Mus musculus: one gene and its partners. The protein of the gene in region 1 interacts with the protein of each later gene in a biochemical or structural test. Links are inferred from orthologs where the notes say so. Each region holds a gene or a part of one and is shown in the gene's direction. Other genes may lie near its edges. The genes, in order: Ube2e1, Ubr7, Rnf167, Rnf14, Ipo11, Trim32 and Ubr5.

What was found.
Region 2: the proteins of Ube2e1 (region 1) and Ubr7 form a complex in vitro, tested with the Homo sapiens proteins (2 studies listed by BioGRID). The link is inferred for Mus musculus from reciprocal best matches to the Homo sapiens genes UBE2E1 and UBR7.
Region 3: the proteins of Ube2e1 (region 1) and Rnf167 form a complex in vitro, tested with the Homo sapiens proteins (3 studies listed by BioGRID). The link is inferred for Mus musculus from reciprocal best matches to the Homo sapiens genes UBE2E1 and RNF167.
Region 4: the proteins of Ube2e1 (region 1) and Rnf14 form a complex in vitro, tested with the Homo sapiens proteins (3 studies listed by BioGRID, with this or other methods). The link is inferred for Mus musculus from reciprocal best matches to the Homo sapiens genes UBE2E1 and RNF14.
Region 5: the proteins of Ube2e1 (region 1) and Ipo11 form a complex in vitro, tested with the Homo sapiens proteins (2 studies listed by BioGRID). The link is inferred for Mus musculus from reciprocal best matches to the Homo sapiens genes UBE2E1 and IPO11.
Region 6: the proteins of Ube2e1 (region 1) and Trim32 form a complex in vitro, tested with the Homo sapiens proteins (2 studies listed by BioGRID). The link is inferred for Mus musculus from reciprocal best matches to the Homo sapiens genes UBE2E1 and TRIM32.
Region 7: the proteins of Ube2e1 (region 1) and Ubr5 form a complex in vitro, tested with the Homo sapiens proteins (2 studies listed by BioGRID). The link is inferred for Mus musculus from reciprocal best matches to the Homo sapiens genes UBE2E1 and UBR5.

The regions. Positions count from the first base shown.
Region 1 is NC_000080.6:18,329,045-18,333,182, reverse strand, and holds the start of Ube2e1 (ubiquitin-conjugating enzyme E2 E1), read left to right. Parts: upstream 1-1,338; 5' UTR 1,339-1,496; intron 1,497-2,048; 5' UTR 2,049-2,081; coding exon 2,082-2,233; intron 2,234-2,256; exon of another isoform or gene 2,257-2,287; coding exon of another isoform or gene 2,288-2,319; intron 2,320-4,138. UniProt on the Homo sapiens protein: Accepts ubiquitin from the E1 complex and catalyzes its covalent attachment to other proteins. Catalyzes the covalent attachment of ISG15 to other proteins. Mediates the selective degradation of short-lived and abnormal proteins.
Region 2 is NC_000078.6:102,756,505-102,760,774, forward strand, and holds the start of Ubr7 (putative E3 ubiquitin-protein ligase UBR7), read left to right. Parts: upstream 1-1,470; 5' UTR 1,471-1,524; coding exon 1,525-1,674; intron 1,675-4,270. Other genes in the region: Gm20604 (AK010878-Moap1 protein), read right to left, coding at 1,037-1,241; EKC/KEOPS complex subunit GON7, read right to left, coding at 1,037-1,241. UniProt on the Homo sapiens protein: E3 ubiquitin-protein ligase which is a component of the N-end rule pathway. Recognizes and binds to proteins bearing specific N-terminal residues that are destabilizing according to the N-end rule, leading to their ubiquitination and subsequent degradation.
Region 3 is NC_000077.6:70,645,963-70,650,034, forward strand, and holds the start of Rnf167 (E3 ubiquitin-protein ligase RNF167 isoform 1 precursor), read left to right. Parts: upstream 1-1,272; 5' UTR 1,273-1,906; coding exon 1,907-1,990; intron 1,991-2,052; exon of another isoform or gene 2,053-2,066; coding exon 2,067-2,147; intron 2,148-2,445; exon of another isoform or gene 2,446-2,630; intron 2,631-3,258; coding exon 3,259-3,384; intron 3,385-3,482; coding exon 3,483-3,570; intron 3,571-3,712; coding exon 3,713-3,803; intron 3,804-3,949; coding exon 3,950-4,055; intron 4,056-4,072. Other genes in the region: Slc25a11 (mitochondrial 2-oxoglutarate/malate carrier protein), read right to left, coding at 1-28, 114-266, 806-900.
Region 4 is NC_000084.6:38,306,635-38,310,134, forward strand, and holds part of Rnf14 (E3 ubiquitin-protein ligase RNF14), read left to right. Parts: intron 1-1,230; coding exon 1,231-1,761; intron 1,762-2,850; coding exon 2,851-3,079; intron 3,080-3,500. UniProt on the Homo sapiens protein: E3 ubiquitin-protein ligase that plays a key role in the RNF14-RNF25 translation quality control pathway, a pathway that takes place when a ribosome has stalled during translation, and which promotes ubiquitination and degradation of translation factors on stalled ribosomes.
Region 5 is NC_000079.6:106,934,159-106,938,350, reverse strand, and holds the start of Ipo11 (importin-11), read left to right. Parts: upstream 1-1,392; 5' UTR 1,393-1,591; intron 1,592-4,192. UniProt on the Homo sapiens protein: Functions in nuclear protein import as nuclear transport receptor. Serves as receptor for nuclear localization signals (NLS) in cargo substrates.
Region 6 is NC_000070.6:65,603,569-65,607,785, forward strand, and holds the start of Trim32 (E3 ubiquitin-protein ligase TRIM32), read left to right. Parts: upstream 1-1,417; 5' UTR 1,418-1,501; exon of another isoform or gene 1,502-1,715; intron 1,716-1,747; exon of another isoform or gene 1,748-1,989; intron 1,990-4,217. UniProt on the Homo sapiens protein: E3 ubiquitin ligase that plays a role in various biological processes including neural stem cell differentiation, innate immunity, inflammatory resonse and autophagy.
Region 7 is NC_000081.6:37,966,828-37,970,854, reverse strand, and holds the end of Ubr5 (E3 ubiquitin-protein ligase UBR5), read left to right. Parts: intron 1-507; coding exon 508-593; intron 594-2,349; coding exon 2,350-2,562; 3' UTR 2,563-3,527; downstream 3,528-4,027. UniProt on the Homo sapiens protein: E3 ubiquitin-protein ligase involved in different protein quality control pathways in the cytoplasm and nucleus. Mainly acts as a ubiquitin chain elongator that extends pre-ubiquitinated substrates.

The DNA.
Region 1 (4,138 bases):
GGAAGCAATGTCAATTTGAATGAGGTAATTTAAAGTGGACCATGGAAATTCGAGTGCTGTTGTCTGCTCAGTACACAAGATCTCTGTGAACTTGGATGGCAGGGGTCTGTTCCCTTCAGGGTAAACGGCAAACTGGTAAGAAACTAAGTCCTAATTTAATGGTGGAATTAAAAAAAATAAATTTCGGTACAGTGCCACACAAGGAACAATTTAGTGGCATTGTTGTGTGATTATCCTAAAAATATTATTTGAATAGCATCATATTGGAGTAAAAAGAAAGTAGGGTGCTTTCTAGAACTTTTTTTCCCCATTACTAAGACTCAGACATATCTAATTTAAGAATTCCAAATCCTGAGGCAGGCGGATTTCTGAGTTCGAGGAGAGCCTGGTCTACAAAGTGAGTTCCAGGACAGCCAGGGCAAGTCCTGTCAAAATCATTGGCTCAAGGTTTATTTTCAGTGATCTTATAATCCCAAGCCCGGTCGTAGTTACCTGTCCCGAACCCCAATTGCATACATTAAAAAAAAAAAAGTCCACATCCTTTTCAATAACAAGTGAAAGGGGAAGGAGGGTGGTATCTAGTATAAAATTGCACATGCCTGGTGTCCTGAACAGAATCCCAGTCTGGGTTTTTTCTCACAGGCGTGACCTCTGCTCCAAGCACGTAATTGCCAGAGGGAGGAACAAGTGTCATCAGCTCAAAGGAAAAACCTGTTAGGGGTCTTTTCCTTTCCTTTCCTTTCCTTTCCTTTCCTTTCCTTTCCTTTCCTTTCCTTTCCTTTCCTTTTTCCTTCTCTTTCCTTTCCTTTTTCCTTCCCTTTCCTTTTTCCTTTCCTTTTCCCCCTTTCCTTTCCTTTCCTTTCCTTTCCTTTCCTTTCGTTTCTCCTTTCCTCTTTTCTTTTCCTTTCCTTTCTCCTTTCCTCTTTTCCTTTCCTTTCTCCTTTTCTCTCCTTTTCTCTCCTCTTCTCTTCTCTTCTCTTCTCTTCTCTTCTCTTCTCTTCTCTTCTCTTCTCTTCTCTTCTCTTCTTTTCTTCCATTCTTTCTTTTCAAACGAATCACTTTTGGGGAGGAGTCAAAGTCCTCGCCAGGAGAGTACCATCTTTTCCCCACACCGGCCCCCTCACTCCCCAGCCTTTTCCCAAAGCCCTCCTGGGAAGAACTTCCCCTGGTCACCCCGGGCTCCACCTGCCCCAGTGGCCCCCAATCCCGCCCGGTTGCCTCGGCTCCGCCCGGCGCGGCGTCCCCAGGCCAAGCCGGGGTCGCTCGGGGCTCCCGGGCCGCGGCCCCCAGGTGCGGCGGGGGAGGGGCGCGGGGCGGGGCGGAGAGGAGGAGTGGCGCGGAGCGTGTGCGGCCGGGGAAGCCATTGCCTGGTTAATAGTTGCTGTTGCTGCACTTCCGCTTCTCTCCCAGTGAGAGCGAGACACGAGTGGCCAGGCCCAGTCGCAGCCGCAGCAGCAGCCGCGGCGGCGGCACGGAGCAGCCAGACACAAAGAGAGGTGCGGGGGCCCCTCAGGGCGGGCGGGCCGCGGGGCCTGGGGCCGCGGGGCCGGGGGACGGGCGGCACCGCCGGGCCGCGGGCAGCAGGGCCGGGCGACCGGGATGGCGTGGCGGGCCCGGGCGGCGGGGGCCGCGCGAACTGTCAGAGCGGCCCGGTCCCCGCGGGGACCCGCCCGCCCGGGGCGCATTGTGCGCGTCGGCCTGCGAGCGCAGCCCCGCGTGGCCCGGCCTGGCCAGGAGCCGTGTCCCCGCGGCCCACGCGGCCCACGCTCGGCTTGCTCACCCACTCTCGCTGCTCGGCTCGTCCCGACCTCGCCAAACTCGAGCGGACGCCGGGAGGCCTGGGGGACCGCGGCGGCGGCTCCCGGCCCTCCCCGGGCCGCCCCCGCGCGATCGTGGCCCCCGTGTCTCTTCGGCCGGTGCGGCGGTGGGCCCCGAGCCTCTGCAGGCAGCGGGGGCGGCCCGGCCCGCGCCCTCCTGACAGCGGAGTTCCTTCCCTCTTTGCAGCGCCTGCATGGTCTGTGTTTCTGTTTTGTTTCCTCCCCCTGCAGGGGCCGTTCGCGGGGTGGGGTGGGGGGTTCGCTATGTCGGATGACGATTCGAGGGCCAGCACCAGCTCCTCGTCATCTTCGTCCTCCAACCAGCAGACCGAGAAAGAAGGCAGCACCCCCAAGAAGAAGGAGAGTAAAGTCAGCATGAGCAAAAATTCGAAGCTTCTCTCCACCAGCGCTAAGAGGTATCCCACTCCTTTCTCCACAGGCATCCGAGCTTCCCAGTGGCCTCGTGCTGCATGTCAGGGAGGGAGGCTTCAACGACGTTCTCGTGAGTTCTCAGGCAGGAAAATGGGGCATGGGAGTCCCACCTGTTTTCTCTACTGCTCGCTGCTTCTGGTTTTGTTAGTGCCCTCGTCCATATGCAGGAGTTGTGGTTGGCCTCGTCCGTTTCTTGTTGAAGTTTCAAGAATCCTCATTACTTTTATGAGTGACTCCCAATGTGATTTCAGAGTCTTCATCCTAGTAATCACGAATCTCTGACTTCCCGGAGGCTGTCATCATACTTCATTATTAAGAGTACCTTCCTGGGCAACTCTGTTAAAACTAGTTCTGACCATCTTTCTTCCTCTTCACCTGTTGCAGGGGTGGTGTTTTCTGAATAGGGTTTTCTCCATACATCGCTTAAGGAATAACTAACTCTCATTAGCGGTTAAAAGAATGTCATGTTTTCTGGCAGAATTTGAAGAACCTTTGCCTGTTTGGAGAGTTAAGGGAGATGAAAGAATCAGTGAATAACTGTAAAATTATTTCAGTTATTTTTGGATTTTTTTTTTCTTTTCTGTTTAAAAACTTCAGTTTGACACTTTTCAGAAAGACTTGTTTTACTAGACAAGGTCTCTTTTGGCCCAAGCTGGCCTTGAACTTAGCACTTCTATCTCAGCCTCTTGATTGTTACAGAAGTGAGCCACTTAGTTCACCCAGCGATAATCTCTCTCTTGTGTAAAAAAAACCAGGTGGATAATTTACCTCTGTCAACCTTAAGTCACATTCTCTGATCCTGTGTTCCTTAAAATAATCTCTAGTAGATACCTGGGAGCCTGCCTCTCCTCTCCTTTCATACCCCCTTTTTTTGTTGAGATGGTTGGCCATAGTAAGGAACAGAAACTCGGCTGCTGGGGAATGGCATTCTTTAAAGAATTTTAAATGAAATGGAAGGTCTAAATGGCTTCGGGTCTCTCTGCTGAGTAGTGAGCCTGGAACTCAAAGATTGTCAGTTTGTTCTGTTGTTTTCCCTGAACTGAAATTCAGAAACTTGGTATGCTGTCTTAGTGAGCTAACTGGACTGATAGAGTAACTTCAGGTCATTTTAAATGGTTGCTGTTGAGGTCTGGAGAGATGGTTGATGCTTTGGTAAAACTGTTATCAGTTTCAGTGGTCTGATTATATCTCAGTCTCTCCAGGGTCTTTGATGAACCCCTGTGAATCTCCCAGAACCTAGATTCTATCCTTCTTGCTCAGGATGGCCTTTCTTGATCAACCCCGGCCTTGAGCTCTCTGTTCTACTTTTGACCTGTCCTGCCCCAGTGCAGGACATTAGCTGTGATGTCACTCCTGCCCCAGTGCAGGACATTAGCTGTGATGTCACTCCTGCCCCAGTGCAGGACATTAGCTGTGATGTCACTCCTGCCCCAGTGCAGGACATTAGCTGTGATGTCACTCCTGCCCCAGTGCAGGACATTAGCTGTGATGTCACTCCTGCCCCAGTGCAGGACATTAGCTGTGATGTCACTGGGGCTTTTACGTTGTGCTAGACATAAGGAGAAAATGGACAGGTATACAAAGTAGTTTTCTTTTTGTCAGTATAGTACAAATAAATAGATTTTCCCATAGACACAGCTTGTGTATGCTTAAGGAACTTAGAAACTTAGTTCTGGGCATAGTAGTACAGGCCTTTTGTCAGCTCAGCCCTTGGAAACAGAAACAGACAGATAGATGTCCTGTGAGTTCAAAGTGAGTTCCATGAGAGTCTGTCTCATGAACAAAATGCCAAACAAAAACATGTAAAACTATTTGATAGCTTGGATAGTAGTGTACTGGCCTAGCAGGCTTGAAACATCATCAAGAATGGTAAGCCCAGGAGTAATGGT
Region 2 (4,270 bases), on another chromosome or scaffold:
CCAGGGGATTTGATGCCCTCTTCTGGCCTCCGAAGGCACTGCACATAAGAGGTGTACAGACAAGCATGCAGGTAAACATCCATCTTTAAAAGCAAACAAACCCCAAGCCACCAAAATTAACAGTTAATTTCTACAACAGGAGAGGGGGTGAGAGAAAGTAAGAGGACGGGAAGGGCTGTAGTGCTTTCGGACATTATATAGCCCTTAAACTCTGGCAGCACAAGATGGCAACGTAAACATTCCATCAAGGAAGGGGGGGGCTCATGAGGCGCCACCCCTCTCAGAGGAGCGGTTGGCGGTTAATGGGGGGCGGGGGAGTCATTGTTTTTCTTCAGTGGTCTAGTCACTGCTGTGTTGCCCTAGTTCCAGTAAATATCATACAAATATCCTTAAATAAATCCAGTGACAAAAAAAGGCCGGAAAGAAAGGCGAGGAGCCCTGTCGAGAAGGGTTCAGCGGGGGATAGAGACCATGACCTGAATGCATTAATACATGAATGAAACGATCAATTAATTTAAGAATACCAAAAAGCTAAACTAAAAAGAACTCTTTTACTTTCGAAACAATAGCTACAAAACTGAGAGGGTTAAGATTCCCTAAAACAAAGTGGGCCTCGGTCATTCGAAGCTCTCCTCATTCTGTCAAACACGTTTTCTCGTTTCTAATTTCACTCCTTTCCGTTTTTCAACAACCAGGTCTACCTTCCCGCCCTTTCGGGTCTTCGTGCCAGCTAGCAATGGTTACAGACCGCCACTTTCTCTGCCTATCTTAATCCTTTGCGTTCTTTGCAAGGGAGTCAAGCTGACTTCGTCCGTTGACCAGTCCCTAGTCCAACGCTCGCCACGGTTTTTTTTTTTTTTTTTGGTGGGAAAAGTCGCAAAAACGGGGGGCGGTGGGATATCAGACAAAGAGGGCAGCGAGTTCTAAGGATTTTTAGAAGCGATTGCTCCTCTTCTCCGGGGCTCGCCTTCTCTAGCCTGCCCTTCACACTGCCCGGTCCCGCCAGTGTCCCCCGGCGCCCCGCCCCCGCGCTCACCATCCAAAGCGTCGTCCGGATCTTCCGCCAAGCCTTGCGCGTCCTGCTCCACTAGGGTCCCGAAGAACTCCGCTACCAACTCCTTCATCCGGACCACGCCCGCCGACAGGCTCTGGAGAGGGTCCGCGTCTCCCGACGCCTCACAGGACACTCGTAGCCGCTGCGGCTCCCCGTCACAACCGACGTACTCGCCCGAAAGCTCCATGGCGACCACTCAGCTTCAACAGCGCGCCTCGGAGAAACGCCACCCGGAAGCGGAAGCCAGCCTGCGGCCGGGGCGGGCGGGAGAGGCGAGGAGGAGGAGGAATGACTTCCGATTTCCCGAAATTGGCCCGCCCATTTTCTTCCGTGTCCTTCCTTAGGATTGGCTGTCTGGTGCTCGGGCTCCGCCTCCTCACGGGGCCCCGCCTTCTCGCGACGCCCCTGGCGGCGGCCACTTTTCCCGCCTCCTCCTGGGCCCACGCAGCGGAGCCCGGTGACAGTTGAGGATGGCCGGAGCCGAGAGCCCCACCGAGTGCCAGGCGGAGCTGGAGCCCGTGGTGTCGCTGGTGGACGTGCTCGAGGAAGACGAGGAGTTGGAGAATGAGGCGTGCGCCGTCCTGGGCGGCAGCGACTCGGAGAAGTGCTCCTACTCGCAGGTGCGCGCGGCCCGGCTGCTCCCGCCGTCCTGTCTGTTTCCCGCTGGCCGCGGCCGGGCCCACTCACGGCGGCCCTTTACTCTGTGCTTCTACAGCCCCGGCCCGGCTGCCATTTCATCCTCAGCTTGTCGCCACCAGGGCTGTCCCTCGGTTCCGCTGATGGTACACTGCAGGCTCCGGTCCTCCAGTTGTCGCCTCTTGGTGGCCTGCTTTTCACGAGGTTGTTCTCGTGATCTCTCAAACCCAGATATTCTTCGCTCCACTTCTCCCACCGCCCAAGAATCTTAATTAGGGACCAGATGGGGAAAAGTAAAGGGAAAGTGGGCCGGCTTTGAAAATCTTCCGGTGAGGTTCGGCTTCCGGACACTCCTGTAGTCTAGTTTAACTGCTAGCTGCCCCCACCTCACCCCCTTTCTGGTTAAATGAAGTTTCGTGTGTATGTGCTATGTGACATCCCCTCTCTCTGGGGACTGGAAAGCCAAGAGGAGAAAAGGATCTGTTTGGCATTTGTGGGACCTTTTGAACGAGAGAGTTTGAGGGGCTGAGATGTAGTGTTTAGTGACGCATACTGTACATTTAAGTACTAACGTGGAAAAGGGTGGGTAGGAAGGAAACTTAACAACAAGGATGAGAATTGGTGGAAGGAAACAGGCTAACTATGCCCATGGGTGGAGTGGGAGACTGGGGTAGGAGTGAAGGGACTTGGAGTTATGGTGTGGCGTGGACTGAAGTCATAATACTAGTTGTCTTCGTTGACCAAGTTGGGTTTGCACTGTAAAATTGTTGAATAAATCTTGTATCCCAGAAGTAGTCACAGCATGGTCGCTGGTATTTAAATTTGGAGGATCATTGTTAGGTTTCAAACCCTGGACTCTGCTGTTGTGCCTATTTAACATATCAAAGCCGATGGTGGCCTCCTGGTTCTCCCTGCCCTTCTGTCCCTTCCGGGACTCTCCTGGCAGACATACCCAATCCACTTTCCCAGACTTCTCCAGCCCAGGAGCCGGGCTACCCTTCCCCCAGCTTCCCTTCCCTAAATAATGCAGCCGTTTTGTTTATGCAGCTCTCTTGGGTCTCCTGGCTGTAGCACCTGGCTCCCCATCCCTATCCCCTACCCTTCCTTGCTCTTCTCCCAGGGCCCAGTTCAGAATCTTTAGCCTCTGGACTCTCCTAAAAGTCCTTGCCTCCGAGCTCTTCCTTTTATAGTAAACTTTTTCCTTCAACCTCCCAAGGAACAGGCATGTCCTTTCCTTTTTATTTCTCTTTTTCATTGTGACCATTAAACCACACACCCACCCCTTCATTGGAAGAAAGAAAGAAAGATCCTAAGTCTGTATGTAAGCTCTTTATTAATATACTTATTTTTATACAATACTAACTAAAATTGGGGGTAGGATCTTATGTCCCTCAGATCTGCCTTGAATTTTTGACTATCTTCACTTCCCAAGTGCTGCTGGTATTACAAGTGTGTACCACCATGCTTGGCTTAAAGTCTTGTTTCTGGTGAATTTTGTTTTTGTTTTTTGAGACAGTCAGATTGAGTGGTTCTAATTGGTCTGAAACTCACTATGTAGGCCAGGCTAACCTTGAACTCACAAGGATCCACCTCCCTCCCAAGTGCTAGGATTAAAGGCCTGGTCCTAAGTTTTTGTTTTTAAATAGTCATATCTCTATATAAGTATATCAATAATAATAATTATTTTCTTTTAGTTTTTTTGAGACGGAGTTTCTCTATGTAGCACTGGCTGTCCTGGAACTTAGAAATATGCCTCCCTCTGCCTCTCAAATGCTGGGATTAAAAGTGTGTACCACCACTACCACCTGGCAGTCTTTTGTTTTGTTAGATTTTCAAGTATTTGTGTGGCTATGTGCATGTGCGCACAGATGCTCTTGAGGGCAGAAGAATCTGATCCCCCTGGAACTGGAGTTGCAGGGGGTTGTGCGCTGCCAACACGGTACTAGGGACTCAATGCTAGTTCTCTGAGAGAGCAGTATGTGCGTTTAAGCTCTGGGCCATCTCTCTCTAACTCCAGGTTGATTTTAACAAGCTTGCTTACTGATGTGTGTGGGCACATGTACCACATAGCATATGCAGACAGGCATCAGGGAACAGCCTTATGGAAGCGGTTGTCCTCACCACCTCTGTATAGGTTCTGGAGGTGGACCGAAGGTTTCCGGGCTTACAGAGCCAGTGACTTTACCCACGGAGCTATCTCGCTGGCCCGGCAAATTCTTTAGTAAACTAGGAGCAGATTGAAATAGAATAGAAGTGTGTGTGGTAGTTCACTGGCAGGCTCAGTAAAGCATTTGCTGCACCAGTATGGACCTGTGCTCTGTCCCCTCTACCACGGCCCTGTGTGCTGAGAATCCCCTTACCAACACTTCTAAGTTTTGCTATTTTTCCTTCAACATTTTAAAACATTTGTCTCTGTTGAACACACTTGCCCTTTTTTATACTTCATTACTTGACAGTAAGTAGTGGGCATAATTATACTTCTAGATGCTTCCCCATACATCTCTCCCCAAATTAAAATGATTAATTTTTCTGTATGGTTGAATTATAAGAATTTCTAAAATAAGAAATGTGAGGGCTGGA
Region 3 (4,072 bases), on another chromosome or scaffold:
GGCCTGGCGCAGTAGACCAGCTGACAGCCTGAAGAGTAGAAATGTCAGCACATCAGGCCAAGGTCTGGACCTGCCAACCAACAACTTCCCTCCCCAACTTGAGGCCACAGTACCCAGTGTAAATGCCCTTCAGGCCTTCTGTCTTCAGGATGCTGGTGAGGGCATGGAAACTGGTTTTGTACTCTCGAGTCTTGGCCCCTTCACCACTCAACTGCATCCGGTTCTTCACCAGGTCCAGGGGCTGCACAAAGACTGTAGCACCCATCCTGAAGTGAGGCAGGAAAGGGAATCAGAGGTCAGTGGTTCCAGCTCTACTGCAACCTGGCAAGAAGTTACAAAGGTCAGGGCCACTAAGGATTCAGGAGGCTGGTGGGCATGTGTGTTAAGTGTGTGCATCAAGGGCAACGTGCCAGCAAAAGAGTCCAGTTGCCCAGTAAGGGGCATGCAAATCAAAAAGCCTCAGGCAGTTCTTTAGGGTTCAAGCAGAATTAGGACTACAGGCGATCTAAAGAAAGGTGGAGAGGGCGTCCCCATCCTAAGACTCCAAGCAGTCCTATAACAAAGCCTTTAATGACCTATACCCACCACCCAAACAGGCACAACGAAGCAAAGGTGGTGGAAACACAGGGTAAAGATCCTTGAATGCAGCACAGTTGGGTCCCTGCAAAGGATGAATAGATCCTGGCAACCCATCAGGGACCCTGCACCGGCTCAATTTACTGCAACACACCCCAAGTTACACTGGGCCCAGGTGCTTGCTCCCGTCCCTTCCTCCTTTTCCCCCATCACTGGGGCCTGAGCTTACCCAGCCAGGCCCCCAAACAGGAACTTGACAGACTTAGGGGAGGTACGGGGTTTCCCGTCCATCCGGCCAGCCCCAGGACTCGCCGTCGCCGCCATCGCCCCTTGATGGCCCTCGGCTTTGGGTCCCGTGCACGTACAGCCCCGCTCGCGCCCAAGGTGACACCAGCGCGCAACAGGGTGAGGGCGCGCGCGCGCACGCCCCTCCGACAGGCAAATCTGGCTCCAGCTGGAAGCTGGGGCGGGCGCAGGCTCGGAGCGCAAAGGCAGCCGGGGAATAAGGCGGGGCTAAGATGCACGATGAAGGGGCGTGGCCGATTTAGGAAGCTACCCTAAATTCCCGCCCCTCCGGAATTGGAATCGCGGGGAAAAAAAAAAAAAAAAAGCTTGTTTGAAAACCTCGCGAGAGCAAGTGAATCAGCCGAGTTCGGGCTATGAGGCCTCTCGCGATATATTTCAGCGGCGAAAGGGGGTGGGGGGGTGGAGGGAGGGTGGTGGCAAGCACTCTCGCGATACTTTGAACGTACCGTGGCGGCCAGACGAAGGAGAGGTTTGTAAACAGGGCAGCTCCAGGATCTCAGGGACTGAGGGAAAAAAACTAGATCGTCTCCTGAGCATCGAAGCTCCCTCCATCTCCGCAGGCTCCTTCTACATGTCAAACATTTCTTTCAACCGGCCTCTCGGGACCGGAAGTCCTCCGTCCTGAGCGTCCAATACTGGAATTGGCCTTTCTTACCGGAAACCCTTTTCCAGGGGCATAGGAAGACAGTCTACCTGGCCGGAAGTCCCACCTCTTTGAGGTTTCTCCTACCCTTCCGGAAGTTTTTTTGTTGTTGTTGTTACCTGTTTGCCTTCGCTCCTATTCTGTCCTATTTCTGTACTAGAGAAAGATACATTGTCTCCCCTACCAGCTCCGCTAAGCTGGTTTGATAGCTCACTCCCTGAATCGGAGTTCCTTCCCCGACGCCCCCATGTAGCTGAGAAGTGGGACCTAGGGGTGGTTGGACCCCTGGGATCCTGAAGGAGAGGCAGAGGAGGGCGCAGGACTCGGCTTCTGCTCCTGCGATCAGAACGCGACCTTCGCAGCTTTACCCCTCCCGCTGCCATGCACCCTGCGGCCTTCCCGCTTCCTGTTGTCGTGGCTACTGTACTGTGGGGAGCAGCCCCTGTCCGAGGGCTGATTCGAGCGGTGAGTCTGAGGGTCGGACGGGGACAGGGTGCTGAGAATGGGGTTCAGACTGAAACACGTAGTGTTCCGTCTGCAGACTTCGGAGCACAATGCCAGCATGGACTTTGCAGACCTTCCAGCTCTGTTTGGGGCCACTCTGAGCGACGAGGGACTGCAGGTGATGTTTTCCCCATTTCCCTATATGGATCCTGGGTAGGGGCGAAGTGGCCGTGCTCAGGAGGTAGGAAGTAGTGGAGTTAGCAGCGGAATGCAGTGGACTGCGGATAGTTCAATGATAGGGTGCTTTTTCTAGTATGAGTGAGATTCTAGGTTGAATCTCCAGCAAAAAAAAAAAAGTGTCCCCAATCCAGAAAAACCTAAGTGCATGATCATGTCCAGCGCGCAGAGTCCAGAATCCAGAGATAATAGATAGTGCCCACCTCTAGAACTTAACATTTTTTATTTTATATGCATAGGTGTGAGAGTGTCAGATCCCCTGGAACTGGAGTTACAGTCAGTTGTGAGCTGCTACATGGATGCTAGGAACTGAACTCCGGTTCTCTGGAAGAACAGCCAGTGCGCTTAAGCACTGAACCATCTACAACCCCTAGAACTCCCAAGTTTAAGAGGGAGTCTGAGAGTGGGCTAAGATAAAAAGCAGGTGCTTATCAGCAGTCTCTGGAGCAACTTACTGTTTGTATAGATGGCCATGGACAGCTTTTTATGGGTTCTGAGTCAAATGAGAAATAGAAATTAACCTAGGGCTATCGTGCCAGTGTGATAAGCATGTCTGTAGTAGTTCACTACAAAGTTCATGCCACATAGCAAGAATTCATTCGGCCACAGTTAGCAGTAGAGTTGTAAGATGGCTAATTGGAAAATGAAACTTGTTGAAAATGCCATGAATGAGTAGCAAGGTGAACCACTATCGGTGGGAAACTTAAAAGCAGAACTAAACTACGCTTGAGAAGTTAAGGGAGCCTCTGGTAAGGGATGTAGTTTACTGTAACTGCATCTTCAAGAAAGCTGAGAGATCCCTTTTCTTTTTTCTTTTTTTTGAGACTGGACTCTGGAACTCTGGCTGTCCCCAACTCACAGTAGTCTCAAGTGCTGGGATTAAATGCATGTATCACCATGTCTGAGTTGTAGATTCAGTGTTGGGTGGGATGCTCAGACCTCCAGAATGAGCAATGATAGAGCTGCAGAATGCAGGTAGTATATAGTGTTATGTGTGGTAGGTCCTGTGGAAGACAGAACTAAAGATGAAAATGTTTGCCTTTATCCCTCAGGGGTTCCTTGTGGAGGCCCACCCAGAAAATGCCTGCGGTCCTATTGCCCCACCACCCTCAGCCCCGGTCAATGGGTCAGTCTTTATTGCACTGCTTCGAAGATTCGACTGCAACTTTGACCTCAAGGTTGCTGAATGGGGAATGGGAGGTGGTAAGCAGGGTACATGACACCAGGAATGAAGGGCAAGGGTTACAGCTCTATCCCTCCCGCTTGGCCTCCTTAGGTCCTAAATGCTCAGAAGGCTGGGTATGGTGCAGCTGTGGTGCACAATGTGAATTCCAATGAACTGCTGAACATGGTGTGGAACAGCGGTAAGGAAGAAGCCTGCACTACTGGGTGCACCGTGGAGTTGAGTGGGAGGGCAATTGGTTGAGATCTGCAAAAAGTGCCAAAAGCCAGTTTCAGGGAATTGAGGAACAGAAGGCTAAATCCCTAATATCCTGCTCCTTACAGAGGAAATCCAACAGCAGATCTGGATCCCATCTGTATTTATTGGAGAGAGAAGCGCAGAGTACCTACGAGCCCTTTTTGTCTACGAGAAGGGGTAGGACGCATGCTTTCTTCCAGTTCTTCTCAATCCACTCAGGCTCAGGCTCTTCCTCGGCTGCCTTGACTTTCTCCTCATTATGCCTTGTCCCAAGCCAGTAACCCTATTTTACCTGGCTTGAGGTTGTGTCTCTCTCTCCTCAGGGCTCGGGTGCTTCTGGTTCCAGACAACAGCTTCCCCTTGGGCTATTACCTCATTCCTTTCACTGGGATTGTAGGATTACTGGTTTTGGCCATGGGAACAGTATTGGTAAGTAGCTGAGGAGA
Region 4 (3,500 bases), on another chromosome or scaffold:
CAGGGCACTGAAGCCTGATGACCTGAGGTTGGTCCCTAAAACCCACGGGTTGAAGGAGAGAACTTACTCCTGCCAGCTGTCCTCTGACCCTCACATCAGGCCATGCACGTGCGTGTTTGTACCCACACAGAACTACATACAAACAAGGATGTTTTAAAAGGCAAACCTGGGCAGGCTTAGCAAGGGCGTACCAAGTTAGGAGAAGACTCAGAACTCTGGCTCGTGGTAGTGCATCTGCCCGGGATTCCATTCCCACTGTTACCAGAAAGGAAAAAAAGCAGAGCATTTTGGAGACTTGTGCTTTTGAAATTTGTCATCTATGCTGGGTGTTACCTTGTCGGGTGTTGTACGAAGCGTGACTGTTTTCTCCCACCTGGTAGGTCACCCCCGCGCTCCATTGTTCCCTGTGCTCCGCAGAAGCTGTGAACTTTGACAAAAGCTTTCCTCTGTGTTGAGTTGATTTTTGTAACTGGTGTATGTGTTGGGGGTATGCTTTTAGTTTGGCTGTTTTGAGTGTGAATATCCAGTTTTTCCAGCGCCATGTGTTGAAGACATTATCCTTTCTTGGATGTTTTTGCTTTGTTGTTTCTTGTGGACTAGATAAACAAGCACTCTACGGTTGAGCTGTGTTCCCAGTTTTGAATGATTCTTTTGTTGTTGTTTATTTATTTACTTTTTTTTGGTTTCAGCCCATTTACTGTTCATATGTGCCTCACACATTTCTGTTAGATAGATTTATTATAGGAAGTACAGTTAATCCAAAAGAGGAACAGGAGGGTGTGGGGGAAGAGAACACAGGTAACTGCCACATGTTCCTACCCAGATACAAGTGCAGTGAGAGCTTGCAGGCTAGGATGCTTCTGTGCCGTGTTCCCTTTCTAATCACACTCCAGACCACCTCCAAGGAAGGGTAGGCTCCTTAAGAGAAACAGTCCCCTTAGAACCAGGTTCCTTCTGACATATGAGCTGCAGAGTGATTCTAAAAGCTTAAACAGCAACCTGGCTCTGTGTCCTGTGGCAGCCTCTTGTCTTCATGCTACTTCTAGATTCTGATTTTGATTTACTCTGGCTCCTGTTCCTGGATAGTTGAACAATTTGGTGAGAATGTTGGTACTGTTTTGTAAGTAAGAAAGAAATTTCAGGAAGTTATGCTAAAATAAGCTTCAGCAGGTCAGGAGCTGGTCTATCATCATCTTTTCAAATTCAGCATCCTCATGTGCTCTCTCCCAGCTCTCTGCTCTCTGCAAGCACCTAGACAACCTGTGGGAAGAACACCGAGGCAGAGTGGTGCTGTTTGCCTGGATGCAGTTTCTTAAGGAGGAGACCCTCACCTACCTGAATATTGTCTCTCCTTTTGAGCTCAAGATGGGGTCTCAGAAAAAAGTTCAGAGAAGGGCAACAGCCCAGGCCTCTTCCAGCACAGAGCTTGGTGTGGGAGGAGCTGCTGCGGCGGATGTAGACCAAGAAGAAACTGTGGATGAGAGAGCTGTACAGGATGTAGAGTCATTGTCAAGTCTGATCCAGGAGATCTTGGACTTCAATCAAGCTCGGCAGACGAAGTGCTTCAATAGTAAACTGTTCTTGTGCAGCATCTGTTTCTGTGAGAAGCTGGGTAGTGATTGCATGTACTTCTTGGAGTGCAAGCATGTATACTGCAAAGCCTGTCTGAAGGATTACTTTGAAATCCAGATCAAAGATGGTCAAGTTAAATGCCTCAACTGTCCAGAGCCACAGTGCCCTTCAGTGGCGACTCCTGGTCAGGTACTGTCCTCTTGTCCATGTCATGTGCCCTCCAGGTTCTTTTCACAAAGGGAATCATCTCAGAAATGTTTCTTTTGTTTCCTTTCTGTATATCCCAGACTGGACTAAACTCATGATCCTCCTGCCTCCACTTCCCAAATGCTGACATTAAAGGTGGTTGCCACCACACTTTCCACGGGAATTTTACTTAATATATTATTTAGCAGTGTTGAGGATCAACCCTAGGCCTCATATATGCTAGACAAGCCCTTTTCCACTAAGTCACACCCCAACCGTCACAAACTTTCGTGATGGTACTCATGGGATGGACCGAGTCCTTAGATGCAGTCCACGGGTGTTTCATTGTGTCTATTAAGAGTGCTATAAGATGGGTGTGGACACCCAACCACCTATAATCCCAGTACTCCAGAGGTAGAGGCCAGAGTCAATATCATCCTTGACTGCTTAGTAAGCTCAAGGCTAATTTGGGCTTCATGAGATTCATCTCAAAAAATTAAGATGGCTCAGCAGGTAAAGGCACTTGCCACCAAACCTGATGACCTGAGTTCAACCTAGGAGAGAACCAACTCTCTCAGGTCATCTTTTAACCCACACCCCCACATAAATAAATAAATAAATAAATAAATAAGATTTCTGTTTTCTCTCTCCTCTCTCGACAGGGTTTCTCTGTGTAGTCCTCCCTGGCTGTCCTAGAACTAGCTCTGTGGATCAGGCTGGCCTCGAACTCAGATCCACCTACTGAGTGCTGGAACTAAAAGTGTGCTATGCCCAGCCTTAGTTTTAACCAATATGTAGATCCATATAATCACAACCTCAGTCAGAGAAAGGCATAGGAGACTGAGTCAGGTGGATTTCAGAAAATTCAAAGCTAGTCTGACTACATAGGAAAACCCATCTCAACCATGCCTCCCTCTGCCCCCCACCCAAAAAAAAGGGTATAAACTATTGCAAAACCCGCTTTGCTTCTGGAATGAGAATAGGGTGTGACTTTTGTACCTATCTATTTTATATCAGCAGCCTCAGAGTCTTCATAGGATCAGAGCCAGTTGGGAAATCTTCAGATCTATGGTGTTTTATATTCCCTCTCAGGTCAAAGAGCTGGTAGAAGCAGACTTGTTTGCTCGCTATGACCGTCTCCTCCTGCAGTCTACCTTGGATCTAATGGCAGATGTGGTGTATTGTCCCCGTCCATGCTGCCAGCTCCCTGTGATGCAAGAGCCTGGTGGTACCATGGCTATCTGCTCCAGCTGCAATTTTGCCTTCTGTACCTTATGCAGACTGACCTATCACGGGCTTTCTCCATGTAAGGTAACTGCAGGTATGTTGTAACTGAACCCAACTCTCATCCAGTAGCCTTTGTTTTCCCTTGTGAAGGCCCGTAACTTCCGTCCATACATTTAGAGCTCTCACACCTGTAGAGTTTGCATTCCTCTCAAAGGCAGAAAGCTACTAGAAGCAGAGGTGCATGCCGCTTATGACCAACTTTTGCTCCAGTGTACCGTGGGTCTGATGGCAGATGTGGTGTGTTGACACATCCTGCTGAGAGCTGGTTGGCTCTCATTCAGGGTTGCTTTGTCAGTTACTGTCTTGGCTCTAGGGGAAAGGGATGGACAGAAGAGACCAAATCCTTTCGTGGAACTGCCAGACTAGTGGGGCTGACAGACAACACAGTAAGTAGTGGTAAGTGCTGAGGAGGAGAAAGAACACTAGAGCTGGTTAGGAATGGCTCTGAGGGGAGG
Region 5 (4,192 bases), on another chromosome or scaffold:
GAGGGTTATTCATCTAGCTGTAAATATTTGTTTTGTCAACAATATGCACCTGCATCTTCCATTCAATACTAGTCAAAATTAGTACTTCTGAATACATCCTAATTTGGGGTCCTAGTATTCTAGACACACTTTGTGTATGCTTTTGTTGTTGTTGTTGTGTGTTTTTTTTTTTTTTTTTTTTTTTTTTTTGAGGCAGGGTTTCTCTGTGTAGTCCTGGCTGTCCTGGAACTCACTCTATAGACCAGGCTGGCCTTGAACTCAGAAATTCGCCTGCCTCTGCCTCCCAAGTGCTGGGATTAAAGGCATGTGCCACCATGCCCGGCCTGCGTATGCTCATTTTTTAAAATTAAACATTTCCTAAGATTTACAAAAGACCTATGACTCCAATAAAAGAGTTCTATTTTTCAAAATTTCTCTTTTTAATAACTACTTAATTCTTTCTTCCCACACTAACTATCGCTTGTCTCTCTACCATTGGACACATCCTCTGGGTGGTTGGCAACATTAGCATCAACGGGAATGTGGATACATTTTAGACCAACCATGTAGCTGTGAGTTTGTGCTACACCACTTTGTGCTCCCAGAGGATCACGCACTTCCACCCACTCTCCAGGAACTCTTTGGATTCTGGAATGAAAGCCACACACACATTAGCTTATTTTTGAAATGCCTTTGGTTAACTCAATGACTGGGCACTCCTAAACCTTCCCAACAGAGACTATATGCATGTAACCCTAACACTTGAGAAGTGGCGGCGTCGGAATTTGAAGGTCATCCTCAGCGATGCCAGCCTGGGGTCCTGAGACCCTGATTAAACAGCAGAACTCTAGCGGGGCGTGGTGGCACACACCTTTAATCCCAGCACTCGGGAGGCAGAGGCAGGCGGATTTCTGAGTTCGAGGTCAGCCTGGGCTACAAAGTGAGTTCCAGGACAGCCAGGGCTATACAGAGAAACCCTGTCTCGAAAAAACAAGAACAAAAAACAAAACAAAAACCAGCAGAACTCTAACCCCCACCCCCCAAAAAAAAAAAAAAAAACCAAAACCAACAATGCTCATCCAAATACCTATGGTGGCAGAGTTCATCAATGGGATTCTTTTGATGACCCTCTTCTGCCGTGACAGACTCCTAAACCAAGTAGCTGACAGAATAGTGAAGATGCAATGAATGGTTTTGACTTAGGCTTCGATCAGCGCAGGAGACTATCGATTTTCTCCGGACCTACGGTTTCCATAGTTACAGGGGCCCCTAAGCCGGCGCCTTGCTCCGGGTACCACGCAAGCGCACACAACCCTATTGGCTGCCGCGCGCCTTCGGGTTCGAACTCGAGTTCCTCCCTCCCCTTCCCTCCGCCGTCCTATGGCCTCCCTCCTCGGCCTCTCGGCGCTCTGGGAACCTGTGACGTAATTTTAGCGCGCCCTCGTCGTTTGGAGTGGCGACGCGGAACATGGCGCGTTCCTAGAAGCCGTTTTCGGCATCAGTAGGCGGCAGCGTGTGGACTAGGAGCGTGGGGGACGAGGAAGCAACCAACGCCGCTTCGTGTGGACAAGTGGAAAGGGGCGGGCCGGGCGGTTCCGGACCGAAGCACGCGGTGAGGCCCGGCCGCGAGCCGCGCGGATGGAAGGAAGGAAGGGAGGAGTGGGCTGGGCAGCGAGAGACCCCGCGCCGAGGGCGGAACGCGGGGTCCCGCGGAGCTGTGCGGCGTGGCCGTGGGCCCTCGCGGCTCTGGTGTAGCCCGGGCGAGCACGGGCTCCCGGGCTGTGGGAAGCCTCTGGGTGCTGGGTCCACGGTGCGGCGTGGCAGGGTCTGAGTGACAGGCTGAGCAAAGGCGAGGGTACCTATTGTGTCCCCTGTCGCCGGCCAGGGGGCTGTATTTGTCCTTGGAGGCTTTGGGCTGCACAGCACGAGGGAAACGTGTTCCCCTTCCCAAGACCGGTGTGTGGAGTTAGCTGCACACGCGACCTTGCCGTGGAAGCTGTGCTTTGGAAAGCTTTAAGCATTCCGATCGTTCCTTCACCTTTAAGGAAAAAGTGAAGGGACTTCAACATCAATTCTCCGAGAGGAGATTCATGCTGAGGTATGGCCGCCAGTGCACAGGCTCAGCGACTCCTGCAGCTTTACATTTGGGAATATTTGTGATTCAGCAAAATTATTTCGAGGCCCATAGCATTTGCTCTTTTCCCCTTAATTCTCTTATTGCGTGGTCAACGTGAGAATCTTACAGCAGAGTGATTTTTTTTTTTTTTTTTTTTTTTTTTTTTTGCGTACATAGCAAAGACCGGTAATCTGGCTTCTGGTGCCAAGGTTGTAGTTGGCACACCTCTTCTCCACACGTTACAGGAGCTCTGTTACATGCGATAATGCCTTTAAGATATGCTTGTTGTATAGAAGGAAGCAAGGAAGAGCAGTTGGCAACCATATATTTTAACCTCTCGTGGACTGAGATTTTTCTCTTCCATTTCCACATTATTTCAGAATTTTGTTCTTTGGTTAAGGGCAGAATGACTTCATTATATGAGCTTGATAGCTTTCTTTACATCATTACCTACATGGCTTGATAGCTTTCCCCACATCTTTGTTCCACACAGAGGAAAATTTTGGTAGAATTAGAATTTTTTTTTCCTGCTGGTGGTAGGATTGCAGACTTTTTTCTTCTTCTTTGGGTGTTCTGATGGTGTCTAGCATAAACATTTTAATTTATTTTGTGGACATGTGTAATAGCTATAGGGCAGGAGGGCATTTTTTTTTGCCTTGATTACACTTCTTAAAGCCAAAAGAGAATTCTCAAAGGAATTTGGTTGTAGTAATATGGATGGAGGTTCCAAAGCAGTGTGCAACAGTTATTTGGTAATTAAACAAGTCTTTAGATTTTGTGATATTATGAAATGTATTTACATTCAGCACCAAGCTAGAAGGCAGAATAGTACTTGTAGTATTTGGATATAAGATATACTGAAGATGTTTCTCAAGAATACAGATATCCATTTTTAGGCAAAGGTAATGTTTAATTATTTTTGTTTTTGTTTTTTGTTTTTTTTTGATTTATCTTTTAAAAGCTAAATCTTTGTTTTTTTTGTTTTTTGTTTTTTTTTGGTTTTTCGAGAGGGTTTCTCTGTATAGCCCTGGCTGTCCTGGAACTCACTCTGTAGACCAGGCTGGCCTGGAACTCAGAAATCCGCCTGCCTCTGCCTCCCGAGTGCTGGGATCAAAGGCGTGCGCTGCCACGCCCGGCTTAAAAGATCTTCCTGTGTCCTCTTGTCTGTGCTGTTCCTGAAACAGGCAGAAGAGGGGCTTGGATCTTCTGGTAATGGAATTACAGGTTGTGCCCCACCTGACCTGTGTGCCTGCTGGGAATCAAACTTGGGTCCTTAGGATGTGCAGCCTGTGCCAGGCCATCTCTCCAGTCCTGATTAGTTTGTGTTTGTGTGTGTGTTGCATGGGCATATGTGTATATTTAATCTTTGTTCTGATTTATTATCATCATCATTACTATCTCTGAGATAGACTTTGACTGTGTAGCTTTAGTTTGTGTGGACCAGGCTGGCCTTAACTCAGAGATACCTTAGTGCATACCTCTTTTCCTTAGTGCTGGGTGTGTGTTGCCACATTGGGCTTAATTTAGAATTACTGTTGGTAAGTTAAATTTTTAAAAAAGAGTTATTTATTTTTATTTATATGAGTACACTCTAGCTGTCTTCAGACACACACCAGAAGAGTGCATCGGATCCCATTACGGATGGTTGTGAGCCACCATGTGGTTGCTGGGAATTGAACTCAGGACCCCTGGAAGAGCAGTCAGTGCTCTTAACTGCTGAGCCATCTCTCCAGCCCCAGTTTAAAAATTTTTATCTTTATTTTATTTATGCAGTGTTGGGATTGAACCCAGGGCCTTGTACATGTTTTATCATTAAGATATTTACTATTTGTGCATCTTCAGTTTTGACTTTTGTTTTGGTTTCGTGGTGTTGGAGGTAGAACCCAGGGATTTGCACTTTACAGCTGCATTAGAGTCCCCCAGCCCCCTTCCTTTCTTTGTGCATGTGATGGGTCTAGTCAGCTAGTTTCGGGGTGCTTTACACAGTGGCTGATCACATCTCTTGCAGGTGTGCTTCTGGAGTGCCTTTTGTTTCATTTTCTAAAGATGAGCCTGACTACCAAGTAAGCCTACATTACAAGCTTTGTAGAGCCTAGG
Region 6 (4,217 bases), on another chromosome or scaffold:
GTAGATGGGCTACAGCAAGATAGGGAAAGTTCTTTTATCTTTTCCGGATGTTATAACATTCTTAGTGGAAGCTCATAGTCTTCTAACTTTAACTATACATTCCAATGGTTTACCTTATAGTCAGAAGATTGTTAGGCCAGAGTCATAGGTTGTTAATAAATGGCCATTAAGAGAACTAAAGCTAGCCCAAGATAAATTGACTATGTGTCTACAATATGTTTTATCCTTTCCCAGTTCTAGGTATTTGGTCAGTCCATAGAATTGCCAGCACAGATATAATTTCTTCAAGGAACTTTGAGTCACATATTCTCTGGGAAAGCCTTGGGAGTTCTGGGTGCCTGGGTTGGCTCAGGGCTCTAGAATTATCTGAGATATCAAATTGTACTCAGAATGTATAATCAGGAAATCCGGCCAGGGATAAAATCATGTGAGAACTCCTGAATCACTGAGAAGAGAAACAAGTTGGAGAATGAATAGCCTGGTTCAGAGTTCCATCAAAATCGATGCCAGGTGTATACCGAACCTTGGACAAGATGTGTGGGACAGGGGCGGGAGTGAGGTGGGGGAAGGGGATAAATTTACTTTTCCCACCTTTCTGAGTTATTAGTAACTCATCAAAACAATCCTTAACTTTATTTTGAGATAAAGAAGTAGAAAAATGAAGTTAAGAGTGATTCTGGGAAATTAAAGCCAGGTTCTGACAGGTAGAAACTGGTTACTTTGCCTTTTAACCCCTAGGTCTCAGCTTCTTTTCAAAGTCTGTAGTCTGTCGGAAAGTGTCTAAAGGTATTACTGTTTTTGTTTTGTTGTCTTATCATTGTGCAGAGGGTACACAGCTAGGTGGAATTTCAAATATGAGAGCATAATATTTCAGATTCCTTCATATTCCTCACTAGTACTGTGTGTTTATCGCATTCAGGAGCAGGTATTACCTGTCCACAAACTACCTTCAGGACCAGGAGGTCCTGGCCACAAAACCTCCCGTCTGACAAGGCTCAATGCAGGCTTTTCCCTGTTTCTCCCTCTGCTATCCGCCTCTGCGCTGTTTGGCAAAGAAAACGTCTTTCCTAAGGGGCATGTGTTCAGTGACTCCACTTTGGGATGTGTCACAGGCAGAAACACCTAGCCCGGGGACCTGCAGCTCTTTGAAGGGAGTGTGCTTGTCTTCTTCAAAGAGGCGTCTGTCTGCAAAGTGCCCGAACTTTCTGGAGACTACTACTGGGGGATTAGCATTGACTAACCATGTTTAGACTCTGAAACGGGGCAGAAAGCTGCAATGGCCTAGGTTTCCGGAGCCATCCCTATCTATTCAGCTGGGCCGCGGGCGCTGAGCCCACAGACCTACAAGCCCCAGCATGCCTCGGGAGGCGGGGCAAGTTGACGGGCAGGCGACTGTACGAATTGGCGACTGCCATGGGAAGGACGTGCTAGCGCATGCGCAGAAGGCAGCGGGCGGGTGGGCTGGCAGCGGTGGACTCGCGTCGGAGCTGCGGGCGGTCAGGTAGGGGGCGGGAAGGAGGGTCTGCGACCAGGGACTGTGGTGGGTCGCGGGGATCCAAGATTGAATGGCAGGATTTGGGGACTGGATCGGAGTGGCAGGATCGGATTCGGAAGGGACGGGCTCAGGAGCGATTCGGCGGAGATGAGATGCAGCTGGGGGAGGGGAGCAAAGGGGCTGAGGAAATTTGCAGTTGCAGCATGTCGGGAGGTATGAGGTAATGTGGGGGCCATGCGGAGAGACGGGGTGCAGCATGTGGGAGATGGGAGGATCTGACGTCCCTGGAGGTATCTGGGTGCAGAATATCAGAAAGCATAAAGGAATTTGGCAGGCCTGGATGAGGTTGGGTGTTGGCGGGCAGAATCTTAGGGGCTTTGAGGAGATCGGTGTAATGATAGCAAGATCTGAGATCAAAACAGCCAAGGTCTTGGAAGATCCTAATTGCTGAAGAGAAAGGGATTTCTGTAGCGGAATCTGGGAAAGACTGAGGGGTGAGTTCCCGAGGGAATCAGTACCCAGTTAGAAAATCGCAGCAAAGGTTTGAAGGCAACACGTGAGGCAGGACGGGGGCGGAGGTGGGGGGCGGGGGTTGGAGGTGGCCCAGTACAAGATGGGGATGATGGGCAGATGAGCGATCAGATTGAAGGAGGGCAGAAATCTGAGGTACAGGATTGGAGTTTGGAGATGGCATACAGGGGTGATAGATGTGGGAATTTGAAAATAGATTAAAGGATGTATTGGAGGGATGAGGGACACATAAGAGCTATTGGTGAATTGCAAGGCTGCAGCATACAGTCTAAAAGGTTGAATGATAGATTTGGGATTTAGCGTTGAGAATGAGGTTTGTGGAGAATGAATGGTGGGGAGTGAATGCTGTAACTAGATTATAGAATTCAAAACCAAATGAAATTTGTGAGTAGGTTCTTAGGAGGTTTTTGTTTGTTTTTGTTTTTGTTTTGGTCTTGGCATAACTGAACCCAGAGGGTCTTCTGGAGACCCAGGGACCTGAAAGTAATTTATAAATAAACTATGTATAAATGAATGGAATTTAGGAGAATGTAAGGGTTTGGGAATAAAGACACCAGTCTTCAGAAATCCTGAAGGAGAGTTTGACATTCTTTGAAGGGCAGATTCTTCCTCACTTACTAACTAAAGGCCCTTTAATCCTGAGGCAGGCATGTATTCTGACTATACCCACTCTGACCACCCCCACCTCCTCATCACAGACCCGATATTATAGGCCTTGGGGAAGAAGCAGTGAACTACCTAAGGGCTTCTGCTACCTAGCCTTTTCCCTGTCCAAGGTATGAGCCAAAATGATCTTCAACCTAATATTATCTTATAGGAGGTCCATTATAGCTCACAGAGACAATGGTTCTGGGTGAGAAACAAAACAAGGTTGGAACAAGGCGGAGCCTCCTGTCTACTGAGTATTTAGCCTGTGCCATTACCTAAAGCCAGGGTTCTCAGACAGGGTGCTTTTGTTCTGCCAGGAAACATTTGACCGTGTCTGGATGGAGGCATTGTCAGTTGTCATAGTTGAGGGGTTGTGTGTGTGTGGGGGGGGGGATACTTGGGGGGGGGGATACTGGTTTCTAGTGAACAACCCCTACAATAAACTATCATTTAGCTAGAAATGGCAGTCATGCCAAAATGGGTCCTGGCATCAGAGTCAAGAATGCTCTGGTTAGATCCTGGCATTATTTATTTATTTATTTGTTTATTTATTTATTTATTTATTTTTCTCTTTCTGCTTTGTAACCTTTAAAGAGTCAATTGACCTCTCAGTGCACAAGCTCTTCAGGGACCTACGTCATAGAATGGCTGTGAGGACTCAGTGTACTAAATCAGGGTGCTTACTGTTTGGTGCCCAGTAAAAGTGCTCAGAATTTACTACTTTTGAAAATATGTGTGCTTTCTTCTCATGATATTCCTTCTAAATATACATTCACTGTTCAGTGTTACCCACGAAACTAAGGCTTAGGAGGTCACTTGTCTAAAGCCACATTCCTGCCATGTAGCTCCCCGCCACATCCTCTCTTCCATTGCTGGTTTGCTGCGGTCGGCTTGGTCTTCCCTTTGCAGCCTCTCCTAAGGAAAGGGAGGCTTGCCCCGTAGTCAGAAGCTGGGTGACTTCTCTTGATTAAGAGAAGCCCTGGACTTTGTTCTTGCTTTGCTCTTAGACCAGAGCCAATGGGGAGATAGTGCAAGGAGCTTGGAGCTACACGGCTGAGATAAGGAGGGCTCAGGCTCAAGGGCAGTGCTAGACGGAAGGAAACTGCTCTGAATGTTCTCCTTTGTGCATCTTGTCTCTGGCACAGAAGGGCAGCATTGTCTTTATCAACTCCAATCCTAGCTACGCTACAGAAGGCAGTTTAGAGAACAAAATTAGACTGGAGCTGAGGGCAGAACACTTAGCTGCGATGACATCAACTCAGATCGCTTAGGAAAACACCTGACGGAGGTTGAGTTGGCCGTGGAATCGGCTGTTTTACTGCTTGCTTGGTGGTCAAGCACTTGCCAGCCTCTGTCTGAAAACACAGCGAGCTCGGCTGAGTGCTGATTAATGTGCATTCTCTCCATAAGGCCCACAATCTAAATGTTACTCCTGATTCTACAAGGCAGAAAGTGAAGAGCCACTTGTTAAATGACATATCCTGGGTTACAGAGCAAGTGGCTAATTTGGGCATATAAATCAGAAGTCACATGCTGGCAAGCC
Region 7 (4,027 bases), on another chromosome or scaffold:
TTGGTTTTTTTTGAGACAGGGTTTCTCTGTGTAGCGTTGGTTGTCCTGGAACTCACTCTGTAGACCAGGCTTGCCTCGAACTCAGACATCCGCCTGCCTCTGCCTCCCAAGTGCTGGGATTAAAGGTGTGCGCTGCCCTTGCCACCACCACCCCCCAGTAGAAATGTAGACTCTTTGGTGTCCTTTTCTTCCATCTTCTAAAAGGTTTCATGTGGCTTATAGCTCAGTGGTTTGAGGAGCACTGTGGCTTAAAGTCACAGCAGAAGAAGAGGGTTTACAGATGAGGCTGACATCAACCTTGGTGGTGACAGGTCACTCTCTCTTACTCATCCAGAGTCAGGATGACCCAATTAATTGTACAGGTTTGTAGTTACACAAAAAGCTTTAGTTTCTTGTTAGGAATTAGATGTCTTAAATTTTAAAGTTCAATGTATCTCTGTTTATATAAGCTTACTAGTATTCAAAAGAAACAACATCTAAAACAACACATTGAATTTATATTCTCAGGAGAAAATGCTGAGAAGCTCCTCCAGTTCAAACGGTGGTTCTGGTCAATAGTAGAGAAAATGAGCATGACAGAACGGCAGGACCTGGTGAGTGAGAAGTCTCACAAAACTTGTAGAGTGAAATGCAAGGGGTCTGCTATGCTTTGTTGTTTGGTTTTGTTTGTTTTTTGGGTGTGTGTTTGTTTTCGGGGATGGGATGGTGGGTCTCTCTTGGAGAACAGTTTACGGATAAAGGTTCTGTGAAGTCTGCCACTTTGGTTGATCATTCATCCCACTCCTTCCCTCCTCTCTTCCATTTCTCCTGTATGTATTTTATCTGCATGTCTGTCTGTGTACCATATGTGTGTGGTGTCTTCAGAGGCCAGAAGAGGGTGTCAGATCACCTGGGCCTAGAGTTCGAGTTCTGAGTCATTGTTTGGGTCCTGGGAATGAAACCCAGAGCTTTTGGAGAAGCATCCATTCCCTGCTGACCCAGTCTCTAGCTCCATCTCAGTCTGGAATCTGTTTCCAGTAAGCCTTTTCTTCCCTGTTAACTGAGTGGATGAGTCCGGCTATGTTCCTGGTTCTTTTGGGGAGGGTTTGTTCCTTCTTTTTCCTCTGTACTGTTCTAAGATGATGTTTCTTACACAATTATGTCTTAGAAAATAACCCCAATTACTTAAGTTTCTGAGTTACTCCGTAAAGTTATTAGATTTATTTCAGTGCTTAGTTGTACAAAGTAAATACCATAGATTAAACTCTGTCCTAGAAGATTGGTATGTGAATGTATAGAAGGATAGATCTTTCAGAGTATTTTATATTTATAAAGTACGTATTTCCGTAAAGAAGCATTTTTTTTAATATTTTGTAATAAATAGAGTAACATTAGACACTTACTGGGTATCATTGGCACTATGTGTTGTCCAAAATAAATTTTTGCTAGCATTCCATATGTCATTGTATGAAATTTCGTCCATTGTAGATATTTCCCAATATTCAGTTATTGTTATAAAATTACTGTGTATCATAATTAGCATCTTATTACTTTGCTAGTAGATAAAATATAAAATGGCTTTTTAACTAGCCTGGGGTTGTTGGTTAAAAAAGAATTTCTCTTTTTTCCCAGTAAGTTACTCAGAGATCTTAGCTATAGTAAAGGCTCTTAGTGATAGCTTGACACAATAGCTTCCTGTCTCAGATGAGAAAACTCGGGCCTCAAGACAGTTACAACAAAAAACCCATAATGTGACACCCTTTTTTCTCCCTTAATCCTGACATTTTTTCTTAAATGTAGTTTATTGCATTATAATTGATATTGGTCTTTTAGTATAAGAAAATAATTTTGAAACTAAGGGAGATTTTGTTAGTTGTTTTGAGATTATAATTACATCATTTCTTCTCTTTCTCTCTCCAAAGCCTCCCTTGCTCTTTTTCAAATTCAGGGTCTGTTTCTCTGTGTCTCTGTCTCCGTCTTGCTCTGTGTGCCTCTGTGTGCTCATGTTTCTAAACACATAAGTAAAGCTTGCTCAGTTTGTATAATGTTATTTGGATGGATGTATGTTTTAAAGGCTGACCATTTGGTATTCGATAACCAACAGAGTGCTTTCTAGGAAAGTCTATTTCTCCTGCTCCCCAAATTCCTTAATTGTTGATAGTAATGTGTTTATGGTTGAAGCCTCCTGGGCTTTCTCCCCATCCATATTAACATGCCTGTTGTTGTCCTTAGCTTATATTTAGGCAGTTGTGTTAGTGAGGCTTTAGTTTTTAAATTGGGTTTTACACAGTGGGGTTGTTTATGTTGCTGGAATTCAAGGTGACTATTAACCTATTAAAACCAACATTGTAATTATATATCCTTGTTTAGGTTTACTTCTGGACATCTAGCCCATCATTGCCAGCCAGTGAAGAAGGTTTTCAGCCTATGCCCTCGATCACAATAAGACCACCAGATGACCAACATCTTCCTACTGCAAATACTTGTATTTCTCGACTTTATGTCCCACTCTATTCCTCTAAACAGATTCTCAAACAAAAATTACTACTCGCCATTAAGACCAAGAATTTTGGTTTTGTGTAGAGTATAAAAAGTGTGTATTGCTGTGTAATATTACTAGCTAATTTTGTAGATTTTTTTTCCCATTTGTCTATAAAAGTTTATGGAAGTTAATGCTGTCATAACCCCCACCCCACCCCACCCCCGGTGGTACCTTAAAGAGATTAAATGCAAACATTCCTTGCTGAGTTTGTAGCTTAAAGGCCTGAGAAGCACTGGCACCTTTTCTCTATGATGGTTTGCTAGTCGCCAACTTCTAGGTCTAACCCCAGCCAAAGATGACAGCAGAACAACATAATTTACACTGTGATTTATCTTTTTTGCTGAGGGGGAAAAATGTAAAATGTTCTGAAAATTCACTGCTGCCTTTGTGGAAAGTGTTTCAGCAAAGGTTCTTGTATAGAGGGAATAGGGAATTTCAAAATAAAAAATTAAGTATGTTCTGTGTTTTCATTTTAGCTTTTTTATGGTGTTATTTGTGGTTGGCTGCAATTGTGTATCATGTATATGGAACTTGTAAAAAGTTCTTGACATTCGGATTTTAGAGACAAAACCACTTTTACCTATAAAAACCTCACTTTTAGTGTGGGTTATTTCAGCTACATTGAGCTCTAGGATACTAAATACACTAATAGTTTGCATGTAATGTGTTCATTTGAGAGAGGCACTTTTCTGTACATAAAATGGGCCGACGCACAGTACCTTGCCACAGTCACCTTTTTTCTTTGTACCCCTCTTTCAGTGCAGGTGGATAGGTCACACTGCACTTGAGTGCTAACCAGATGTCTGTACTAAGGTTATGTGTACTCAGCCTGGGCACTTTCTGATAACTGTAAAATGTTTTATAAGATCATGAATACTGAAAATTTTAAATTTTGGAGAATTTTAAATGTTCTTGAGCAGCTTAACTACTTTTGTATCTAGCCTTTTTTTTTAAGTATCTTGTTACATTTTACTTTTTTAAATAAATTACAGAAGAAATGTCAAGTAACATTGAAGAAACAGTTTTTATTTATATAGTTGTACATTTTTTAAGCTAGGGGCAATGCACTGACATGGTTATATTCATACTTTTTTTTTAAGTTTATATACATGTGAACTATAAGAAAGTTAAGAAAATCAGTCCACATTTTACAGTTAGCAGAGAATCCTAAATGGCACTCAGCCAGGCCTTTTCGTTTTACAAGTAGAAGTGTGATTAGTCAGCACAGAAGTTTTGAGTCAACTCCATGACAGGCATCCATCCATCTATCTATCTATCTATCTATCTATCTATCTATCTATCTATCTATCTATCTATCTATCTATCTATCTATCTATTTTTAAAGATGCTCTGTGGTCTGGGACCAATACCCTTACATTTGTGGACTGAGAGTTTTATTCAGTCAGATAACAAGGAATTAAAAGTCCCTACTAGGATTTAAATTAGTTACTTAAATATTCAAAAACAATTAACGATACCTGTCTTTTCAGTGCCTGTTTAGGACTC